Macaca fascicularis: one gene and its partners. The protein of the gene in region 1 interacts with the protein of each later gene in a pairwise test. Links are inferred from orthologs where the notes say so. Each region holds a gene or a part of one and is shown on either strand. Other genes may lie near its edges. The genes, in order: ANXA11, PLSCR1 and PDCD6.

Region 1 (6,257 bases):
AATGCCAGTGCCCTGAGGTGCCAGGGGGCCTGAGGTGCTTGGGGACAGGGAGGAGAGGCCAGTGTGGCTAAAGTGGAAAGGCGAGGGGATGAGATGAGAAATGAAGTCTGGGGGTCCAGCTCTTGCAGGGTGTAGGAGGCTATTCATCCTAAGGATTTAGGCTTTTATTCTTGGTGAGTGCAGATTCACCTGAACATGCCTGCCAGAGGTGTCTGTGGGTAGCAGGCTGATGTGATGGCGGTGCCCCCAACCCTGAGTATGGGACCCACATGCCTTCTTGGGCAGTGAGCTGTTAACCTTCACCCAGGTGGTCTGGGATGGGAGGAGCAGCCATGTGGAGAGGGAAGGCATTTCCCCTGCAGAAGAGGGTGAGGATCTCTGGTTTGCATCCAGCCGCACTGTTTACTGGCTGTGTAGCTTTGAGCAAGTAAACTCATTCTGTGGTCTGTGAAATAGGTATAACGGTACTTCATGTTCCACAAGCGGAGACGCTGTGAGGACTGACTTGGCTTAGATATGAAAAAGCGTGGAGGGACAGAGTGCAATGGGGCCCGTTGGCCTCATGCTCTGCTTTGTGTCCTTGCAGGCGGCCAACATGTCTGGGACGTTTGGAGGAGCCAACGTGCCCAACCTGTACCCTGGGGCCCCTGGGGCTGGCTACCCACCAGTGCCCCCTGGGGGGTTCGGGCAGCCCCCCTCTGCCCAGCAGCCTGTTCCTCCCTATGGGATGTATCCACCCCCAGGAGGAAACCCATCCTCCGGGATGCCCTCATATCCGCCATACCCGGGGGCCCCTGTGCCGGGCCAGCCCATGCCACCCCCCGGACAACAGCCCCCAGGGGCCTACCCTGGGCAGCCACCAGTGACCTACCCCGGTCAGCCTCCAGTGCCACTCCCTGGGCAGCAGCAGCAGCCAGTGCCGAGCTACCCAGGATACCCAGGGTCTGGGACCGTCACCCCCGCTGTGCCTCCAACCCAGGTGAGTGTCAGCCCACTGCCTCCCTCGGCCCAGGCCTGGGCCCCAAAGACTGGAGACACATGGTCCAGTAGATGGGGAGACAGGGAAAGGCGCAGGCCTCCAGCTGCAGCTTCTTGTTTTAACAAAGAGTGTCGGCCAGGTACAGTGGCTGGTGCCTGTAATCCCAGCACTTTGGGAAGCTGAGGTGGGCAGATCGCTTGAGCCCAGGAGTTCAAGACCAATCTGGGCAAAATGGTGAAACCCTGTGTCTACTAAAAATAGAAAAAAAATAGCTAGGCATGGTGGTGTGCGCCTGTAGGCCCAGCTACTCAGGAGGCTGAGGTGGGAGGATCATCTGAGCCCAGGAGACAGAGGTTGCAGTGAGCCGGGATCATGCCACTGCACTCCAGCCTAGGCAACAGAGTAAGACCCTGTCTTTAAAACAAACAAACAAACAACAACAACAACAACGAGAAACAGAAAAACAAAGAGCGGCACCTTCTTGCAGACTCCCCACCTCTGGGTTGTGTTGCTTAAGGCCCAAGGGAGCTGCCCTGTTTCTCCCAGTGTGATGAGACACTCCACATGCGAGTTGGGTCAGAACGCTCCTGGCGAGTACTCCTTATTCCTCTGTGTCATTCACTGCCTGGGCTGTGTGTTTTGTAAGAACTGCCCAGGCCACCTGTCTTAAGCCTTTGTGCCCAACAGCATCTCCAGTCCTTGATATGCGCCCCCCACAGACGGGTTTTGGAGGATTCTTAAAATTCCCTTTGGGTAGGGAAAATGTTGGCAGTTCCTCCAGGGTTGATCTTGGCTCATTTTGGAGAACAGTTCATGTTTGCAGAGCCTAGAATTCGTTGTCATGGTTATATGGCCCAACCAGCCAGCACAGGGATATGGTATGTGCTTGATGACTATTTTTGGACAGAGGGTCTCCTTTCCTCCTTCCCTTCCATACGCACATGTTCCCCCACCCCTGTGCCATCCTCCAGCCTCTCTCCCTTATCTTTTCCCTGAGCTGCCCCCATAATTGTGTTATAACCAGTTTGTACCAGCTCCTAGGAAGACAATCCACTGGGAGACAGTATAACCTGGAAAGTTCAAATTTGCTGGGTTGTGCAGCTGTCAGGGTCTGGAGGAAGTCCGGCAGGTTTTAGTCTAGAGAACAGTGCCAGGGAACCAGTGCTAGATCAAGAGGTCGTCAGGCTGCCATGCACAGTTGTGGAGTCTGAATACCTGCATCTGCTGGAGGGTCCACATGGGCTAGCCAGCCCAGTTAGGAGTACCCACGTGTGCTCACATGCTGTGGAGACCAGTCATCTATGAGAGAGGCCACAGCCCCTGCTCCTGAGGCTTGCCCTTCATCGGGAGCCTGAGCCCCAGCCCTGGAGGACCTGGGCACTGGGCAGATTTACAGCGTCAGGTTTCAGCTATAGGTGGGCTCCCAGCCACTGGAGCCAGGAAAAAGCTTCCGTACTAGAACACAAGGCCAGATAACAGTCAAGTTAGGCAGACTTGGCGTAGAGTCCTCTGCATTGTTGACTGTGGGTTCCTTTAGATACTCCAACTCTTAGAGAAAGGGCTGTTCCCAGAGTCTGGGGTGGAGCAGTCTTGAATCTGGGGAAGGTGGCATACGTATCATCTTACCTGTGACTGTTTGTCCGAGTAGTTTGGAAGCCGAGGCACCATCGCTGATGCTCCTGGCTTTGACCCCCTGCGAGATGCCGAGGTCCTGCGGAAGGCCATGAAAGGCTTTGGTAAGAGACCCTGGGTGGCTCAAATCCTACCCCCTGCCTCCTATTCCCCAGGCAGTTTCACAGTGGCTCTGTGGGCTAGGGTAGCTAGGGGACGCAGACCTGGCCCCAGTGGTAATAAAAGAGAAGATGGATGTGGGATTGCGCCTGGCATGCCCAGAACAGTTGAGGCACCCAGGCCAGGGAAGTCTCAGCTGCAGAGCATCTCATAACCCCTGCCCGACCCACTCCTGCTGCCTCTTCCTCCAGGGACGGATGAGCAGGCTATCATTGACTGCCTGGGGAGTCGCTCCAACAAGCAGCGGCAGCAGATCCTCCTTTCCTTCAAGACAGCTTACGGCAAGGCAAGCTGCGGGGTGGGGGCGCGGGACAGCGAGGCGTGTCCTGAGCTCAGCACAGCCCTACTCACCCCTGCTTTTTCTTGGGTGGGTCCGGGTCTCCCGGATGGACAGTAAGGAGCAGGAGGGCATTTCCTTCTGCCCACCCAGCAGGTGACATCGTTGGGAGATGAAGGATGCCAGAGGGTGCCAAGGTTTGCTGAGAGGCTCCAGACATCTAGCCCTGGGTTCTAGCCCTTGCTCTGCCACATCTCACTAAGGTTGTGGCCACATCATTTTCCTTCCCCTGCCCTCTTCATGACCACCCTGGGGGGTTTAGCTGATGTAAGAACTTTGCAGGGAAAGGCTGTGAGCACTGCCCAAGTACGAGGGGCATGTATGAGCGCATTTTGAACTTCTGGGGTTTTGAATCTTAGAAAGGTAAAAATTGGGTAAATATTGATTAGATTCATGTTCTAGCCCAGTGCTTCTCACACTTCAATGTGTCACCGACCCTATGGGCATCTTGGTAAAATGTGGTCTCTGATTCGGGAGGTTTGGGGCAGGCCTGAGAGCAGGCTTTTCTCTCGGGCCCCTGGGGGATGTCCGTGCCGCTGCTCCTCGAATCTGGGATATGGCTCTTAGTAGTCACCTCCTGTGGATTTTTAAAATAGACTTTGTTTGTTTGTTTGTTTGTTTGAATATCCAATCAGGATTTGATCAAAGATCTGAAATCTGAACTGTCAGGAAACTTTGAGAAGACAATCTTGGCTCTGATGAAGACCCCAGTCCTCTTTGACGTATATGAGATAAAGGAAGCCATCAAGGTGTGTGTGTGTGTGTGTGTGTGTGTGTGTGTGTGTGTGTGTGTGTGTGTTTTCATGCATTCATGCATGTGGACACACAGCCCAGAAGGAGGCCTGGACAGTGTGCTGTGTTCTAGCCCACTCATTAGCTGCTGTTATCAGTATGGCTCCCAGGCCTTCCTGGGTTAGAGTCCACATGCTGTAGAAAAGGGAATTCCCTGTGATTTCCCCAAGAGGCGAGTGATGCACCCGTCATCATCAGGGAGCCTTAAGTCTCTCTCTATCTGGTCTCTCTCCATCTTAAAGAAATGGTGGAGCTAGGGTTTGAAGGTGGCAAGTCTGTGGTAAGCAGAGGGGTAGGAGGCCATGGTTGGTATCGTTCCCATTCTTTAGGACTCTGTTACTAGCAAATGACAGAAACACACTTCGGTTTAAGAAGAACAAAGGTGGAGAATCAGTTGTGTGGGTAAAGCCAAGCTGCCTGGCATGGAGAGGGCCAGGCCAGACGTCTCTCTAGTCTCTGCCTCTCCTGAGCGCCTGCTCTTCTGTCCGTTTCTGTGCTTCTCCTGCCATGGCTGCTTCATGCGGGGTTGGGGAGGGGTGCCTGTTGACCACTCTCCGCCTACCTATGAGACCCAGCTCCAGAAGAATCCAGCAGGATCTCCAAACAGGGGCAGGTTCTGACGGGTCCAACTTGGGCTCACTGTTTCCTCCAGTCCTGTGAGTTTTGACTGAGGGGCGGATCCTGTCCATTCTGTGCGGTCCCACAGCTCTGTGTGCACCCCACGGGCAAGGGCAGGCGGCGCAGTCCCGAAGCTCTGTGTGCACCCCGCGGGCGAAGGCAGGCAGCACAGTCCCGAAGCTCTGTGTGCACCCCGCGGGCGAGGGCAGGCAGCACAGTCCCGAAGCTCTGTGTGCACCCCGCGGGCGAGGGCAGGCAGCACAGTCCCGAAGCTCTGTGTGCACCCCGGGGGCGAGGGCAGGCAGCGCAGTCCCGAAGCTCTGTGTGCACCCCGCGGGCGAGGGCAGGCAGCGCAGTCGCGAAGTCCTGTGTGCACCCTGCCGGCTAGGGCAGGCAGCGCAGTCCCGCAGGCCTGTGTGTAACCCAACCATTTACTGTGTGGCCTTGGACCAGCCAGTACCCCTCTCTGATGCTCAGTTTTCTGATCCATGGGAGTGCCCCTTTGTGTGAACCCTACTCATCACCGCTGCCACTGTCAGTGTGCTTGCCCGGGCTGTGGAGAGGAGCTGACTTCCTTAAGCCTGGGAGTAGCTGGAGGGTGTGTCTCTGTGTCAGGGGCCTCTGTTGCTGGGGTTTGGCCCTGGGGTCCAGGCAGCAGCATGGCCCCACTCTCCTTCCCGGGTGCTGGTAAGGCTGCTGGAACAAGCGCATGGTTGGTTGTATTCTCTGCCCCTGCAGGGGGTTGGCACTGATGAAGCCTGCCTGATTGAGATCCTCGCTTCCCGCAGCAATGAGCACATCCGAGAATTAAACAGAGCCTACAAAGCAGGTGACACCACTCCCTCTGCCCTCTGCAGATCCCTGTGCTCTTGGGGCTATGGCCTCACTGTCTCCTAGGGCCTCTTACTCCTTCCTGGCCTTCTTATCAACCTATCTTCTGCCACCCCCAGCACACTGGGCTTTGACCCAACACCCAACCGTTCCTTCTGTGTATACATGGTGCAAATGACTAAAGTAAGGGAGCGCCAGGGGAAACCTGGATGTGGTTTGGGCCAAGGCTGACTAGAGCCCAGGTCAGCCTGGAGGTCGCAGGCTTGTATATCCCTGGAGGGCCATGTGGGCTGTTTGCTCTCTCGAGCCCGAGCCGAGACCTCTAGCCTTATTCTCCCCACTACAGTGTTTTGCAATGGGCAGCTCCATAAACAGAGCTACAGGGTGGACCTTCTTTGCTTCTCCCTTTCAGAATTCAAAAAGACCCTGGAAGAGGCCATTCGAAGCGACACATCAGGGCACTTCCAGCGGCTCCTCATCTCTCTCTCTCAGGTACTTTTCCCATGACAGGGCTCGGGGCCCCCAAGCCATGGAAGTCAAAGAGATGGGATCCCAGCAATGAGGAAAGGGAAAAGAAATGGGGAAGGAGTGGGCTTGACCATACACCTGCTTCCTTTCAGGGAAACCGTGATGAAAGCACAAATGTGGACATGTCCCTCGCCCAGAGAGATGCCCAGGTGAGTGTGATGGCCAAGCCCCTGGACTTCCTAAAGCAGGGTGTACCTCGCTTTCTTGCTTCCTGAGAGAGGTGCCCTAGGGTGGAAAGAACAATAGATAAGCAGTGGGTTGCAGATGCCACGAGTTTCAGTCGTGCTCAACTGCTCAACTGTATGACCTAGAGCAGGTCGTCTGACCTCCTGGGCTTCACCTTCCCCACCTACGGGAAGGAACATGTGAGATAATTAGTAT
Region 2 (6,929 bases), on another chromosome or scaffold:
CATACCATGTTATCAGAGAAGGGTTTAGTTTCCGAGATTTATAAAGAACTTATACAACTCAATAGCAAGAAGACATAGCCCAATTTAAAAATGGGAAATGGACCTGAATAGACACTTCTTCAAAAATGACATAAAAATAGCCAACAGGTATATGAAAATGTGCCCAACATCACTATTCATCAGAAAAATGCAAATCAAAATCACTATGAGATACTATGTCATACCTATTAGGATTGTTATTATCAAAAAGACAAGAGATAACAAGTGTCGGCAAGGGTGTAGAGAAAAGAGAATCCTTGTACACAGTTGGTGGGAATGTAGGCTGGTACAGCCATTATGGAAAACAGTATGGAGGTTCCTACAGAAATTAAAAATAGAACTACCATATGACCCAGAAATCCCTCTTCTGGGTATATACCAAAAGAAAATGAAATCACCATCTCCTGAAGATAGCTGCACTCCCATGTTCATTGTAGCATTATTCAGAATAGTCAAGATAATAGAAATAATCTAGGTGTCCACCAATGGACAAATGTATAAAGAAAGATACATATATTCCATTGTGTGTGTATACACACACACAGACACACACACGATGGAATATTACTCAGCCTTATAAAAGAAGGAAATTCTGCCAGGTGCTATCACATGGATATACCTGGAAGGCATTATGCTAAATGAAATAAACCAGACACAGAAAGAAAAATTTTGTACAATCTCATTTACATGAAATTAACAAAAGGTCAAATATATACAGCAGTGGTTTATAGCAGGGGTCTGCAAGCCCCAGGCCACAGACCTGCACATGTGAGGGATCTAGGTGCATATTCCTTATGAGAATCTAATGCCTGGTTATCTTAGGTGGAGCTCAGACAGTGATGCTAGTACTGGGCAGCAGCTGCAAATACAAATTAACATTAGCAGAGAGTTTTGACTGCACAGAGACCATAATAAATACATTGATTGCAGACTCATATCAAAACCCTATCAGTGAGGAGCAAGTGACAAGTGACAATTAAGCTGTGTCCGGAGGCAGGCTTTATAGTGGAAAATTGATGTACTTCAATTGTACAGCTGCATCTGGTGGCAGGCTTTCAGTCAGAATCCAACACTTATTTTAGTCTGTGCATGGCTCACCCATTATTTTACCACTTCCATCCGCACCTCTTTCCCACACTGTGCACTTGTCTTAGTCACAGTTTTGCTAAGCCCACAAGCTAAGCCTAGCCTAGCCAAAGTGAGTGAAAAACAAACATTACTGGACAGCTTCTTTGAAAATGGGGAAAACCCAATGATGAGACAACAGAAGACTCTAAAACTGCTAAAAAAAATAAAGCCACATTTAAAGGAAAATGCCAAGAGTCCTACTTAAATTACAGGTTCACTGCAACAGGTGGTTCACATTCTCCAACCCTGCTTTGTATAATATGTGATGATCGACTATGCAATGAAGCCTCGAAACCTGCAAAACTGCTTTGCCACATGGAGACCAAGCACCCTGCGTTAAAAGACAAGCCTTTGGAGTTTTTGTTTTGTTTTGTTAAAACAAACAAACAAACAAACAAACAAACAAAAAAACAGAAACCATGAAAACATGAACACAAAGAACACATAGAAGCAATTATTGAAGGCCACCATGTCATCAAATGTGTCTGCACTGACAGCATCATTATATATTACAATGTAACAATAATAGAAATAAAGTGCACAATACATACAATATGTTTGAATCATCCTGAAACCGTCTGCCACTCGACCCTGGTCCATGGAAAAATCCTCTTCCGTGAAACTGGTCCCTGGTGCCAAAAAGGTTGGGGACCACCGGTTTATCCAGGGTCATCCAGGTTGGAGTAGGGTCAGGAGATATGGGGAAATTTAGGCCAAAGAATTCAAAGTTACAAACATGTAGGATGAACAAATGGGAAGACCTAATGTACAACATGAGGGCTATAGTTAATGATCGTGGTATTCAGGATTTATGCTAAATGAGTAAATTAGAGCTGCTCTTGCCCCAAGGGGGGAAATGTGTAATTATAGGAGTTGATGGATATGTCATACACATAACTTAAATACAGACAATAAAAACTATTTTAGTTTAAAAAGGAACAATATTTATTAAAAAATAAGGTGAGCTCTTAAAAACATTTAAATAACTGCCTAAAAAAATAAAAAATAATATCACATAATTTAATAGAAGGAAAGAAAGAGCAAGACAGCAAGAAAGAAAAGGCACCATAAAAAAAAACAATTTTGACCACTCCTCATTTGTAGTCTAAGCTGCCTCTGCTTCCTTGCGTTGAAAAGCCACGGGCTTCCGAGGGATGGAGGTCAAAGTCAGAGTAAAGAAAGTTCCCGGGGGAGGCCACTCCCCAGCTGATGACTTTCCAGTTCCAGTTAGTGACAGAGTCCCAGTTCCTCTCCTTAACCACCGGTCAAAAGTCTCTGGAGTCTCTCCAATGAGCAAGAAAGCAAGTCGGGGGTAGGGGAGGGGCCTCACACCTGGTGGTGGGTGCAGTCCCTCCTCCAGCTTCTTCATCCTGCAATAGTCCCGCGGGTCCCCCGGCGCGAACGCGGGAACCAGGAAAAGGAAACCGCGTTGTGTACGTAAGATCCAGGAAACGAAACCAGTAGCCGCGGCTGTTGGCGCAAGGGTTACTCGCAGACCCTGTTCCGGCTGATTTCCGAGAAGGTTGCGCAGTAGCCGTTCCTTGCAGTCTAGAGGCGCAGGAGAGGAAGCCACCGCCTGACCCCGGCTCTCTAGACCTCGGCTCTCTCGGGAGCGGAAACAGCGGCAGCCACAGGTGCGCGAGCGGCTTTCTCTGCCGCCTCCCCGGGGCTCGGGCGCGAGAACTGCGCGGAGCCTGCGCTGGGGCCAGGGCCGGGATCAGGTGTGGGGGCCAACTTACGGGGAACGGGCGCGAGGGCCAGCCGGTTGTGTTTGCTGCTCTGGGGGTGGAGGATGTGGGGTGAAGGCTGGGGCCAGAAATGCAAGAGACCTCTGAAAGGGACCCTGTAAGTGGAGCAGATGCACGGCAAGGGGCCCCAGGCGGCCCAGCGGCACCTGGGCTCACCCAGAATCATTCGAATGAAAAGGGGTGTCCTGCCTGAAAACGCCTCGCGGGGCTCAGCTTCCCCTTAGCTACACTGCTCTACAGGCAGAGAGCGGCGCTGAATCCTGGGCAGAGACTGGGCTCGGGAGCATGTGCCAGCATAGTGGGGCTATTAGAAGGGACGGTTAATACAGCCTGCAAGCTGGCATTTATCAGTAAGTATTCACTGAAGTCCGCCTGGAGCCCACATCTATGCTAAACCCTCTACAATACTAGCTTGGAAAAGATAGCGGCGGTATCTGGCACGGTTCCTAAGACCATTAGCTCCAGTCAGGCTCCCCGACTTTAAATTTGGCCTCTACTGCTTCACATCTGTGGATTGTCAGCCACTTTCTTAATATATATTCTTTCCATTGCCTCATCTCTGAAATTGTGTAACTATTAAAAGAGCTACAGAGTATTATATGTGTTAATGTAAAGTTCTTAGAGCAGTGCCTGGCACTACAGAAAGTACTCAGTGAAAGTGAGCTTTTATTATTTTAAATATTTGACAAAGTTCCTGCTTCTCCAAGCTGACTCTCCGGTTCCCATGTGGTTTCATTCATGCACTGTTATTCCTGGAAGTCTTGGCATGGCCACTTCCCAGTTCCAGGAACAGGCAGTCGTTGTTTTTTTTCTGGCTTATCACATTGAGATACATGGTTACTACAAGTGACACTTAAACGTGTCAGGCAGTTTGGGGCCTCCTTTCTTGAACTTTTCCTAAGAGCAAACTTTTCCCTTAATGCCACCCGGTTTACAACCATAGTAGGGCTTTGAACAACGAGAAAATGCAGGGAAATGAAAGACATATAAAGGGAAATGAATGGATTTCTGCAGTTGGATAGCAAAGTGGCATGTGAAATAGCTGGTTTATAGATCAAACTGCCTTTAGATCTGTAAAGGAGCTTAGAGTACAGGTGGAGAGACATCAAATGTGTGTGAGCAGACCCTTATGTACCTCTCCGTCTTCATCTCTAAGAATGTCTCCCTCTTCTGCTCTGTAACCTCACTGGTCTTCCTTTCCTTGAATGAGGCATGTTCCTCCAGCTCAGGAATTCTATCTATGAAGTTCCCTGTCTCTATAATGCCCTCCAACACCCCACCCACCATACCTCCGTAGACTAGTTGATTTGAGATTTCCTTCAGCTCCCAGTCTGACTTTTCTTAAACCCCCTACCACTGTTTAAGTTAGTGTCCTGTAACCCTTTCTTGTAGCAACATTAATTTTATTGATAGCACTTAGAGTGTTTATAATAATCTATTACATTCTTAATTGTCTGTCTCCCTAGTGTCTAGGTATTGTGCTCTAGTGCCTGGTATAGTGCTTTGCATGCTCTATGCCTTCAATTAATTCCTTAAAAACCACACCAGCTTTATATTTAGTGAATATTTATATAGGAAGTATTTCTATATGTATATATGTGTATCTGTGTATATACACACTCTATAGCACTACCCTGAATAGTGCTAAATTAAAAAGCCAAAACACTTTTTAGTTAATCAGAACAGTTGCACTCTTCAGTTTTCCATATGTTCTTTTAATAAGTCATTAGAAAAAAATGATGTCTCCATATGTTGTCTGCTGCTGTAGCAGAATACCTGAGACTTGGTAATTTATAAAGGACAGAAATTTATTTCTTACAGTTCTGGAGACTAGGAAGTCCAACATAATCATGTGTTACTTAAAGACAGGAATACATTCTGAGAAATGCATCATGAGGCAATTTGGTGGTTGTGAGAACATCATAGAATTTACTTACACAATCCTGGATGGTATAGCCAGCCTTCTATTTAGGCTGGGGTGGTGGCGTGGGGGGTGTTGAGGAGAGTCAGATTGAGAGCTGAAGGAAGTCTCAAATCAATTAGTCTATAGACGTGTGTGTGTGTGTGTGTGTGTGTAGTGGTGGAGGGCATTATAGACAGAGGGAACTTCACAGGTAGAAGTCCTGGGCTGGGGGTGTGTGTGTGTGTGTGTGTGTGTGTGTGTGTGTGTAGTGGTGGAGGGCATTATAGACAGAGGGAACTTCACAGGTAGAAGTCCTGGGCTGGGGGGAACTTGGCTCATTCCAGCAAAGGAATGACCAGTGAGATGGCAGATAGCCTACTAGACCTAGACTGTGTGGAATAAGGTATTGCTCCTAGGCTAGAAACCTGTATAGCATGTTACTGTGCTGAATATGGTAGGCAAGTATAATACAATGTCAAGTATTTATGTATCTAAACATAGAAAGGGTACAGTAAAAATAATCTTATGGGACCATCATCATATATGTGATCTGTTGTTGTGGTGCATGACTCTATGGAGGAACCAGCATCTAGTGAGGGTCTTCTTACTGCATCATCCCATGGTGGAAAGTGGAAGGGCAAGACAGCAAGAGAGAATGGAACTTGACAAGACTACTCTGGCAATAATGAACCCACTCCCAAGATAACAACATTAATCTATTCATGAAGGTAGAGTGCCTATGAACTAATCATCTTTTATTAGGCCCCACCTCCCAACACAGTTGCATTGGAAATTAAGTTTCCAACACATGAACTTAGCACCTGACCTAGTTAAAGCTAAGTGGTACAAGAGGAAATTGAAATTCAAGCCTTTTCTGTCTTACATAAAAAAGATACCTTAAAAGAGTCTTTTAACAAATTTCACTGAAGGGTGTCAGTCTTCCTTTTTTCAGTGAATTAGAGACATCGATGCAAAGAATATGAATTATTGATCATCTTAATTCAGCTAGTTAGTGAACTGTATCACATTTATTAAAGTCACTTTTATTTCTATGGGTTTAGTTTCACCATTTATTAGGAGGAAAGGAAACAACTCAAATTTGTGAGGGAGCTCTGGGTTGTCAGGAAAGGCTTTTCAGAGCAGTAAAGCAATCAAATGACAGTAACTGATTCAATATTTGTTTCCTTTGTCTCTTTTTTTTACTTTTTAGTTTTGTAGAACACTTGATCACTGCCATCTCACTTGGTCCTAGTTGATGTATCATCTACATTTTTATTCAAGGTGTACTATAAAATGCTATAAAAGGCTATCCTAAACTGGTTTTAAGCATATTTATTTTGTTTGTTAAGCATAAAATACGCAAGAGGATTTTTATGGAGTGACTCCTTGTTACAAGGTACTTTGCGTTTATAATCAGCCTCAGTCCCCCCAGTTTCATTCCATAGCTTACAGGTATGATGTGCTGTATACTCAAAAGCCTCACCAGCTGCTTGCGCCACCCATTTGCTTAAATGCATCAGTTTTTTCTAAGCTTAACATTTACCAAAACCCGAGTTCAAAAGATGAATATTTTTCCTTGTTAGATGTTAACTAAACATTTTTAAATGTACAAAGTTTGCATACAAACATAACCCAAATGACATGAAAGTTATTTGATTCATGACTTACCTGTGTAATCTCCTGGCCTACTTGAAATTCCTCCCTTCCCTCTAGTCTAGTATCTATATTCTCAGTTATCGGGAGGAAGTTAGGGACCTAGAATTCTTGTGATTGTTTTCAGAGCAGTAGCATTTTGCTAAAATAATTCAAAACATATATCCCTATCTTGGGACTTGAAGAGAATGTGAAATGCTTTATCCTCTGTTTTGCGGGAATGAGGGAAGGAGGTTGTTCTTAGCCAATTAACAAGTAAATGTAAATAAATAATCCAAATCTGGTGTGGGTAAACAAATTTTAGGAACTGTCAAAATTAAGTATGCTTCCCCTTTGGGTTCCAGATTTTACTTAATACTTTTTGAAAGCAGTAAGATAAAAATTTCAGGACCTCAAGAGATGGGTCAAAAGAGTTTCACTGTAATACGAATCGTGAAGCCAGAACTGGAAATCCCCTG
Region 3 (6,257 bases), on another chromosome or scaffold:
TGGCCTCTGTCCCCTGTGCATTCCCAGTGATGGCCTCTGTCCCCTGTGCACCCCAGTGATGACCTCTGTCCCCTGTGCACCCCAGTGATGACCTCTGTCCCCTGTGCACCCCAGTGATGGCCTCTGTCCCCTGTGCACCCCAGTGATGGCCTCTGTCCCCTGTGCACCCCAGTGATGGCCTCTGTCCCCTGTGCACCCCAGTGATGGCCTCTGTCCCCTGTGCATTCCCAGTGATGACCTCTGTCCCCTGTGCACCCCAGTGATGACCTCTGTCCCCTGTGCACCCCAATGATGGCCTCTGTCCCCTGTGCACCCCAGTGATGGCCTCTGTCCCCTGTGCACCCCAGTGATGGCCTCTGTCCCCTGTGCACCCCAGTGATGGCCTCTGTCCCCTGTGCACCCCAGTGATGACCTCTGTCCCCTGTGCATTCCCAGACAGGAGTGTCCCTGTGGCCGTGTCCCAGCAGGCCGGGCTGTCTGTCCTCAGCAGGCCGGGCTCACCCGCGGTACAGGTGCAGGGAGTGAGGAGGTGGGAATAGTAGGGACCAGAAGAAGTGGCAGCTGTTCACAACTCTGCCATCTCTTTCTGAATGTAACGGGAGGTCCTGTCTTCTCAGCTTGCAGGGAAGGAGGGTCCGAAGCAACTCCACTGTTGCACGTTTAGGGACCCCTGAAGTTAAATGGCAGAACGCCCTGACCACTCTGGAAGGCACTGTGTTCATGTGTGTGTGCTTGACTCTTTATCCGTGAAGGGGCTGTTTGTGCAGGCGATTAACTGTGAGATTCAGACAGTAGGTGCACACATCCCTGCAGAGATTCCAGCAGGGCTGAAAACCAGTAAAAACAGATCGGCACCTGGATCTTGCCTCCTGAGTCAGTAAGGCTGCCACAGTCACGAAGGCAGTGGGATTTCGAGGGAGGCAAGGGAGGGAGGCAGGCGGGGCGTGCTCTCCAAGGTGCCGAACACACCTGCTGCCTCCACACGTCTTCAGAGCCCTCTCCCTGTGGGAGGCCTTTTTCAGGACAGGCTCGGTGAACTGGAAACGAAATCCTAGCCCTTGGTGGCCCTGCAGTGACTTGGACCTTTCCGAGGTCACCCTGCCACTGTGCCCGTCAGTCCCTCATGGCGGGTGGGGCACATCCCCCAGACACTCCCATTTCTTGACATTGACACTTTGTATAACTGGAAACCTTCTGTGAAATTTTAGTTTTCAAAGCATTGTCTGGTGACAAGCAACCCAGGGCGGTGAATCATTCAGAATTTTCTTATCTAGGTTAATAAACATAATAAAATCAATAAGGACTTTGAAAGTAACTCCACTGGGTTCACGAACTGAGCGTGGCCGCCCTGTGGGGTGGTGGTTGGTGAGTGCTTCCCTGGGGTGAGTAGTTAATTCACGAGAGTGACCGATGGCAACGTCCCACTCGCTCCTCCTTCCAGGGTCCTGGTCTCGAGGGGTCGCTCCATGCACTGCAGATGTGAGCTCATTACACAGCGACGTATTCGGGAAGCGTCTCAGTTCTGAGTGCCTTTGAGTGAATTTGCACTTCCGTTCGCACCCAGCCTTGCATCGTGTGTGTTAGAGGCTGTGGGCCTTGGGAGGGAGGGGTGGGCGTTGGCACATACCTCCCGTCTCTCCCAGCCCTCTCTGACTCCAACTTTCACTCTTCAAGGCTACCGGCTCTCTGACCAGTTCCACGACATCCTCATTCGAAAGTTCGACAGGCAGGGACGGGGGCAGATCGCCTTCGACGACTTCATCCAGGGCTGCATCGTCCTGCAGGTGACGGAGTGGCTTTGCCTGGGTTTGCTGTGGTGGTGGGAGGGGTTCGCTTGCCAGCGTGATGCACCTGACCTTCAATCCAAGGAGTCAGGCGTATGTAGAATTAGTTTTTGGAGCTTGTAAGACTGAGTCTCATCTTTGGAGAAGTAGCTGGTTAGTGGAAGTGTAGACAAACATGTTTTCCTCCCCTTGGAAATGGCATAGAGCAGCCCATCTGGAAGACGCTGTTTTTGCAGTATCCGGTGGGTTAGTTACACGTATGTTCTGGTGTTCTGATTTTTTTTTTTTTTTTTTTTTTTTTTGAGACCGAGTCTCGCTCTGTCACCCAGGCTATGGCACGATCCCGGCTCACTCTCACCTCTGCCTCCCGGGTTCAAGCGATTCTCCTGCCTCAGCCTCCCCAGTAGCTGGGATTACAGGTGACACCCAGCTAATTTTTGTATTTTTAGTAGAGATGGGGTTTTGCCATGTTGGCCAGGCTGATCTCAAACTCCTGACCTCAAATAATCCGCCCGCCTTAGCCTCCCAAAGTGCTGGGATTACAGGCATGAGCCCCTGTGCCTGGCCAATGATAGTGTATTTTTGCAAAAACTTTTATTCTGAGAAAAGGGACACGTTTTCTGTTGTGGTCATCCCTGTGTCCTGCCGTCGTTGTGTGTGAGGTCAGCTGTGGAGCCTGTGGGCACTCGGGCTGCCCTCGGTGGGGTCTCCGCGCTCTTCCTGTGCACACCAGTGTCTGCAGGAGCTTGTAATGCACCCTGACCTGCAAGGCAAGCTCTTTGGTGACGTCTTTCCTGCTGTGCTCTCTCTGAGACGCACGGAGATGGAGAGCAGGGCTCAGGGGACCCGCCTGGGAGCTCCACACAGACCCCTGCTGCTGTGTGCAGGTGGAGATCCCGGTCTCCACCCAGATTCCTCAAGGTCCTGCCTTGGTGGCCGCGCAGTTCCGTGAGAGAGAGGAACAGCATGGGGTTTTTAGAAATAATGGGGAAATTCGGAAACGTTCCCAAATTGTTTATTCTATGTAACAATTAAAATGCTAGATCTGTAAAAGTGAGTTTCCTCTGGTTTATGGATCCATCAGTCCCTGCTCTTCAGGGATTTGTTGGAGAACCAGGTCTGTGAACATGGAAGCCTCAAAACTCGACAGTGGGGGAGCCTTTCCTGCCCTGCCTCTTGGGGTTCCTGCCACGTTGGATGATATTTTCACAATGTTCTCTGAACACTTTAAAAAAGTGTAGGCCGGGCCTGGTGTCACATGCCTGTAGTCCCAGCTACTCAGGAGGCTGAGGCAGGAGAATCACTTGAGCCTAAGAGGTGGAGGTTGCAGTGAGCCAAGATCACACCACTGCACTCCAGCCTGGGTGACAGAGCCAGACACTGTCTCACAAAAAAAGAGGGAAAAGATGCAGTGTAAAATCTCGTTATGTACCGTGACTGAATTGCTGTAGGATTCAGATCTTCATTTGAGACTATGTTCTGTAAGTTAACGTTGATCTTGTGTGAGCTTTCGGTAGCTGGAGTAACACTGGCGGCCTCACAGTGACCTCTCCAGCGCCTTCCAAGGCACATCCGCAGCAAGGGTAGCTCCTCCTGGGGGGTGCTGCCTCCCCAAGGCCCCGGCTCCAGACCGCGTGGGGAGGGCCTGACAGCCAGTTCCCGGGCTCTCCCCACCCTTGGAGAGTGACCCTAAACACTAGACAGATGGGGAATGGGAAAGAAAAGAAAGCTGCAGACCACAAGTTAAAATTCCCTCAAAAATGTTTTGATTCATCTGCTTTTTCCAAAAGGATAAAGGCTTTTTGAAAATTATTTTTTAACAAATAATATGAACACTTTTAGAAACTCTAGAAAAACACAAAGGATTCAAAATAGAAAGAAAAATTACGGCCGGGCGCCGTGGCTCAAGCCTGTAATCCCAGCACTTTGGGAGGCCGAGACAGGCGGATCATGAGGTCAGGAGATCGAGACCATCCTGGCTAATACGGTGAAACCCCGTCGCTACTAAAAAATACAAAAAACTAGCCGGGCGAAGTGGCGGGTGCCTGTAGTCCCAGCTACTCGGGAGGCTGAGGCAGGAGAATGGCGTGAACCCGAGAGGAGGAGCTTGCAGTGAGCTGAGATCCGGCCACTGCACTCCAGCCTGGGTGACAGAGCAAGACTCCGTCTCAAAAAAAAAAAGAAAAATTACCCATTATTCTTCAAGCCAGCATCATCCATTGCAGGTGTTTTTGGAGTTTGGTGAGGCCGTAGCTGCTGCCAAGTCCAGGGGCCTGGTGGTGCTGTGGCGTTCCTGCAGGGTGGTTTTTTTTCCTTTGAGATGGAGTCTTGCTCTGTCACCCCAGCTGGAATGTGGTGGTGTAAACACAGCCCACTGCAGCCTCGACCCCAAGTCTCAAGCGATCCTTCCGCCTTGGCCTCCTGAGTAGCTGGGATCACAGGCGAGAGTCACCACACCCTGTCCACGTTCTGATATGCGAGGACTGCTGTTTTCTTCCCTTGTCACATTTTCTTCTTCTTCTTCTTTCTTTTTCCTTCTCCTTCCTTTTTTTTTTTTTTTTTTTGAGAGACCCTTGCTGTCTGTCACCCAGGCCTGAGTGTGGTGGTGTGAACACGGCTCACTGCAGCCTCAACCCCCAGGCTCAAGCGATCCTCACGCCTTGGCCTCCCAGAGTGCTGGGATCACAGACGAGAGTCACCATGCTGGCCTGAATCTTCATGATAGTTTACGGCTGCCCCAAGTCCATCATCTAGAAGTGGCACTTACTTAACCATCCCTGTTAGGAGGGTGTAGGCGGTCACCCTGTCTCTGCTGCTGATCTGGCCTGGACCCTCGGCTGTCAGAGGGAGGGGTGGGCGGGGCTGAAGGAGCCTGAAGCCCTCGTGATGTCACAAGATCCCCCGCTGTGTCCTGAGCTCCACATAGCCCAGGTGGCCCCACAGCAGAGGCGAGCCACTGGAGGGTGGAGGGCCTCCACGGGACGGTCTTCAGGGGCGAAGGAAGGGCCCAGGCCCCCAGGAGACTCAGGAGACCAGGGCCTGGGATCAGGGGCTCAGCCAGGGCTGGACGTAGTGGAGCCAGCCCTGCAGCCCTGTGTTCTTCCCACTCCCACTGTCCATGTGAACAGCTCCAGCCCCACCTGTGCCTGCCTGTGCTGGGCTTCATCAGGAGATGACCTGTGTGCTTCTGAAATTGGGTTCCTAATGACTTTGTCCCAGTGCACCTTGCTCCTTCCGTTCACTATCGAGATTTAAATGTGTGTTTTCTCCCCAGAGGTTGACGGATATATTCAGACGTTACGACACGGATCAGGATGGCTGGATTCAGGTGTCGTACGAACAGTACCTGTCCATGGTCTTCAGTATCGTATGACCCTGGCCTCTCGTGAAGAGCAGCACAACATGGCAAGAGCCGAAACGCCAAAGTTCCTGCCTGTGAGGGAATGGAACCCAGATGCAGTTAGATGCTGTTCTTCCTTTAGATTTTACCGTGTGGGGACCCAGCTGTACATATGTGGATAAGGTGATTAATGTTTTCCAACTATAATAGTAGCTGCATCATTATAATGCAGACATTGGATTTGGTGACTGTCTCATTGTGCCATGAGGTAAATGTAATAATGTTTGAGGCATTCTGCTTGCAAAGAAATCTATCATGTGCTTTTCTAGATGTCTCTGGTTCTATAGTGGAAATGCTTTTATTAGCCAATAGGAATTTTAAAATAATATGGAACTTGCACAAAAGGCTTTTCATGTGCCTTACTTTTTTAAAAAGGAGTTTATTGTATTCATTGGTATATGCGACGTAAGCAATAAAGGGAATGTTAGACCTGTGGTCTGCCTTCAGCTCTTCAAATCAAATAGGTCCAAGAACCAGGCCCCATGCCCTGGTCCTACAGACAGTCACTGCGTCAGATGTGCTGGCTCGTCTGGGACCTCCCAGGGTCCTGGGCACCTTCTGGGACATTGTCCAGCCCAGCGTGCACAGCTCTGCTTGTGAAAAGCCAGAGGGACTCTCACCCTCTGTTCAAGAGGCTACATTTCATAAAACTGCTCCGTGTGGATAAAGAAATCCAATTTGGCGTAGCAGGTTGCGCATTTCCATCATCAATGATTTAGCCACGCTGTCTCCGCACGTGGCCTGCAGCACATGGCCACCCAGCACATCCCCCTGCTCACCTCGGTCCACTGCCAGTGCTGCCCGGTCTCCCTCCCTGCCTCGCTGTGCAGCGCCGGGCCCCCCTGGGTTGACACTCCTGAGCCCCAGCCTCATTCTCTGGACGCTTCCCTTCTGCAGTGATGCGTCTGGTTTCGGGGCTGCAGCCTCTGCTCAGAACACCTGCCTTGACGCTGCTCGTTCCACACAGTTCTGCACGTCTTTTCTCTGTTTTGGTCTCTTGGGATCTGCTACCTGCTCAAATCCCTGCTTGGTGTGTTGAGGGGTGAGGGGCAGGGGGCGTGGTTTCCTGGAAA

What was found.
Region 2: the proteins of ANXA11 (region 1) and PLSCR1 interact in a two-hybrid assay, tested with the Homo sapiens proteins (2 studies listed by BioGRID and IntAct). The two-hybrid records come from large-scale screens. The link is inferred for Macaca fascicularis from reciprocal best matches to the Homo sapiens genes ANXA11 and PLSCR1.
Region 3: the proteins of ANXA11 (region 1) and PDCD6 interact in binary tests that used the Homo sapiens proteins (3 or more experiments, as listed by UniProt). The link is inferred for Macaca fascicularis from reciprocal best matches to the Homo sapiens genes ANXA11 and PDCD6.

Annotation. Positions count from the first base shown.
Region 1 is NC_088383.1:66,640,051-66,646,307, forward strand, and holds part of ANXA11 (annexin A11), read left to right. Parts: intron 1-586; coding exon 587-979; intron 980-2,627; coding exon 2,628-2,715; intron 2,716-2,961; coding exon 2,962-3,056; intron 3,057-3,742; coding exon 3,743-3,856; intron 3,857-5,255; coding exon 5,256-5,346; intron 5,347-5,760; coding exon 5,761-5,840; intron 5,841-5,968; coding exon 5,969-6,025; intron 6,026-6,257. UniProt on the Homo sapiens protein: Binds specifically to calcyclin in a calcium-dependent manner. Required for midbody formation and completion of the terminal phase of cytokinesis.
Region 2 is NC_088376.1:49,351,429-49,358,357, reverse strand, and holds the start of PLSCR1 (phospholipid scramblase 1), read left to right. Parts: upstream 1-2,660; 5' UTR 2,661-2,801; intron 2,802-6,929. UniProt on the Homo sapiens protein: Catalyzes calcium-induced ATP-independent rapid bidirectional and non-specific movement of phospholipids (lipid scrambling or lipid flip-flop) between the inner and outer leaflet of the plasma membrane resulting in collapse of the phospholipid asymmetry which leads to phosphatidylserine externalization on the cell surface.
Region 3 is NC_088380.1:624,010-630,266, forward strand, and holds the end of PDCD6 (programmed cell death protein 6), read left to right. Parts: intron 1-1,674; coding exon 1,675-1,784; intron 1,785-5,058; coding exon 5,059-5,157; 3' UTR 5,158-5,618; downstream 5,619-6,257. UniProt on the Homo sapiens protein: Calcium sensor that plays a key role in processes such as endoplasmic reticulum (ER)-Golgi vesicular transport, endosomal biogenesis or membrane repair.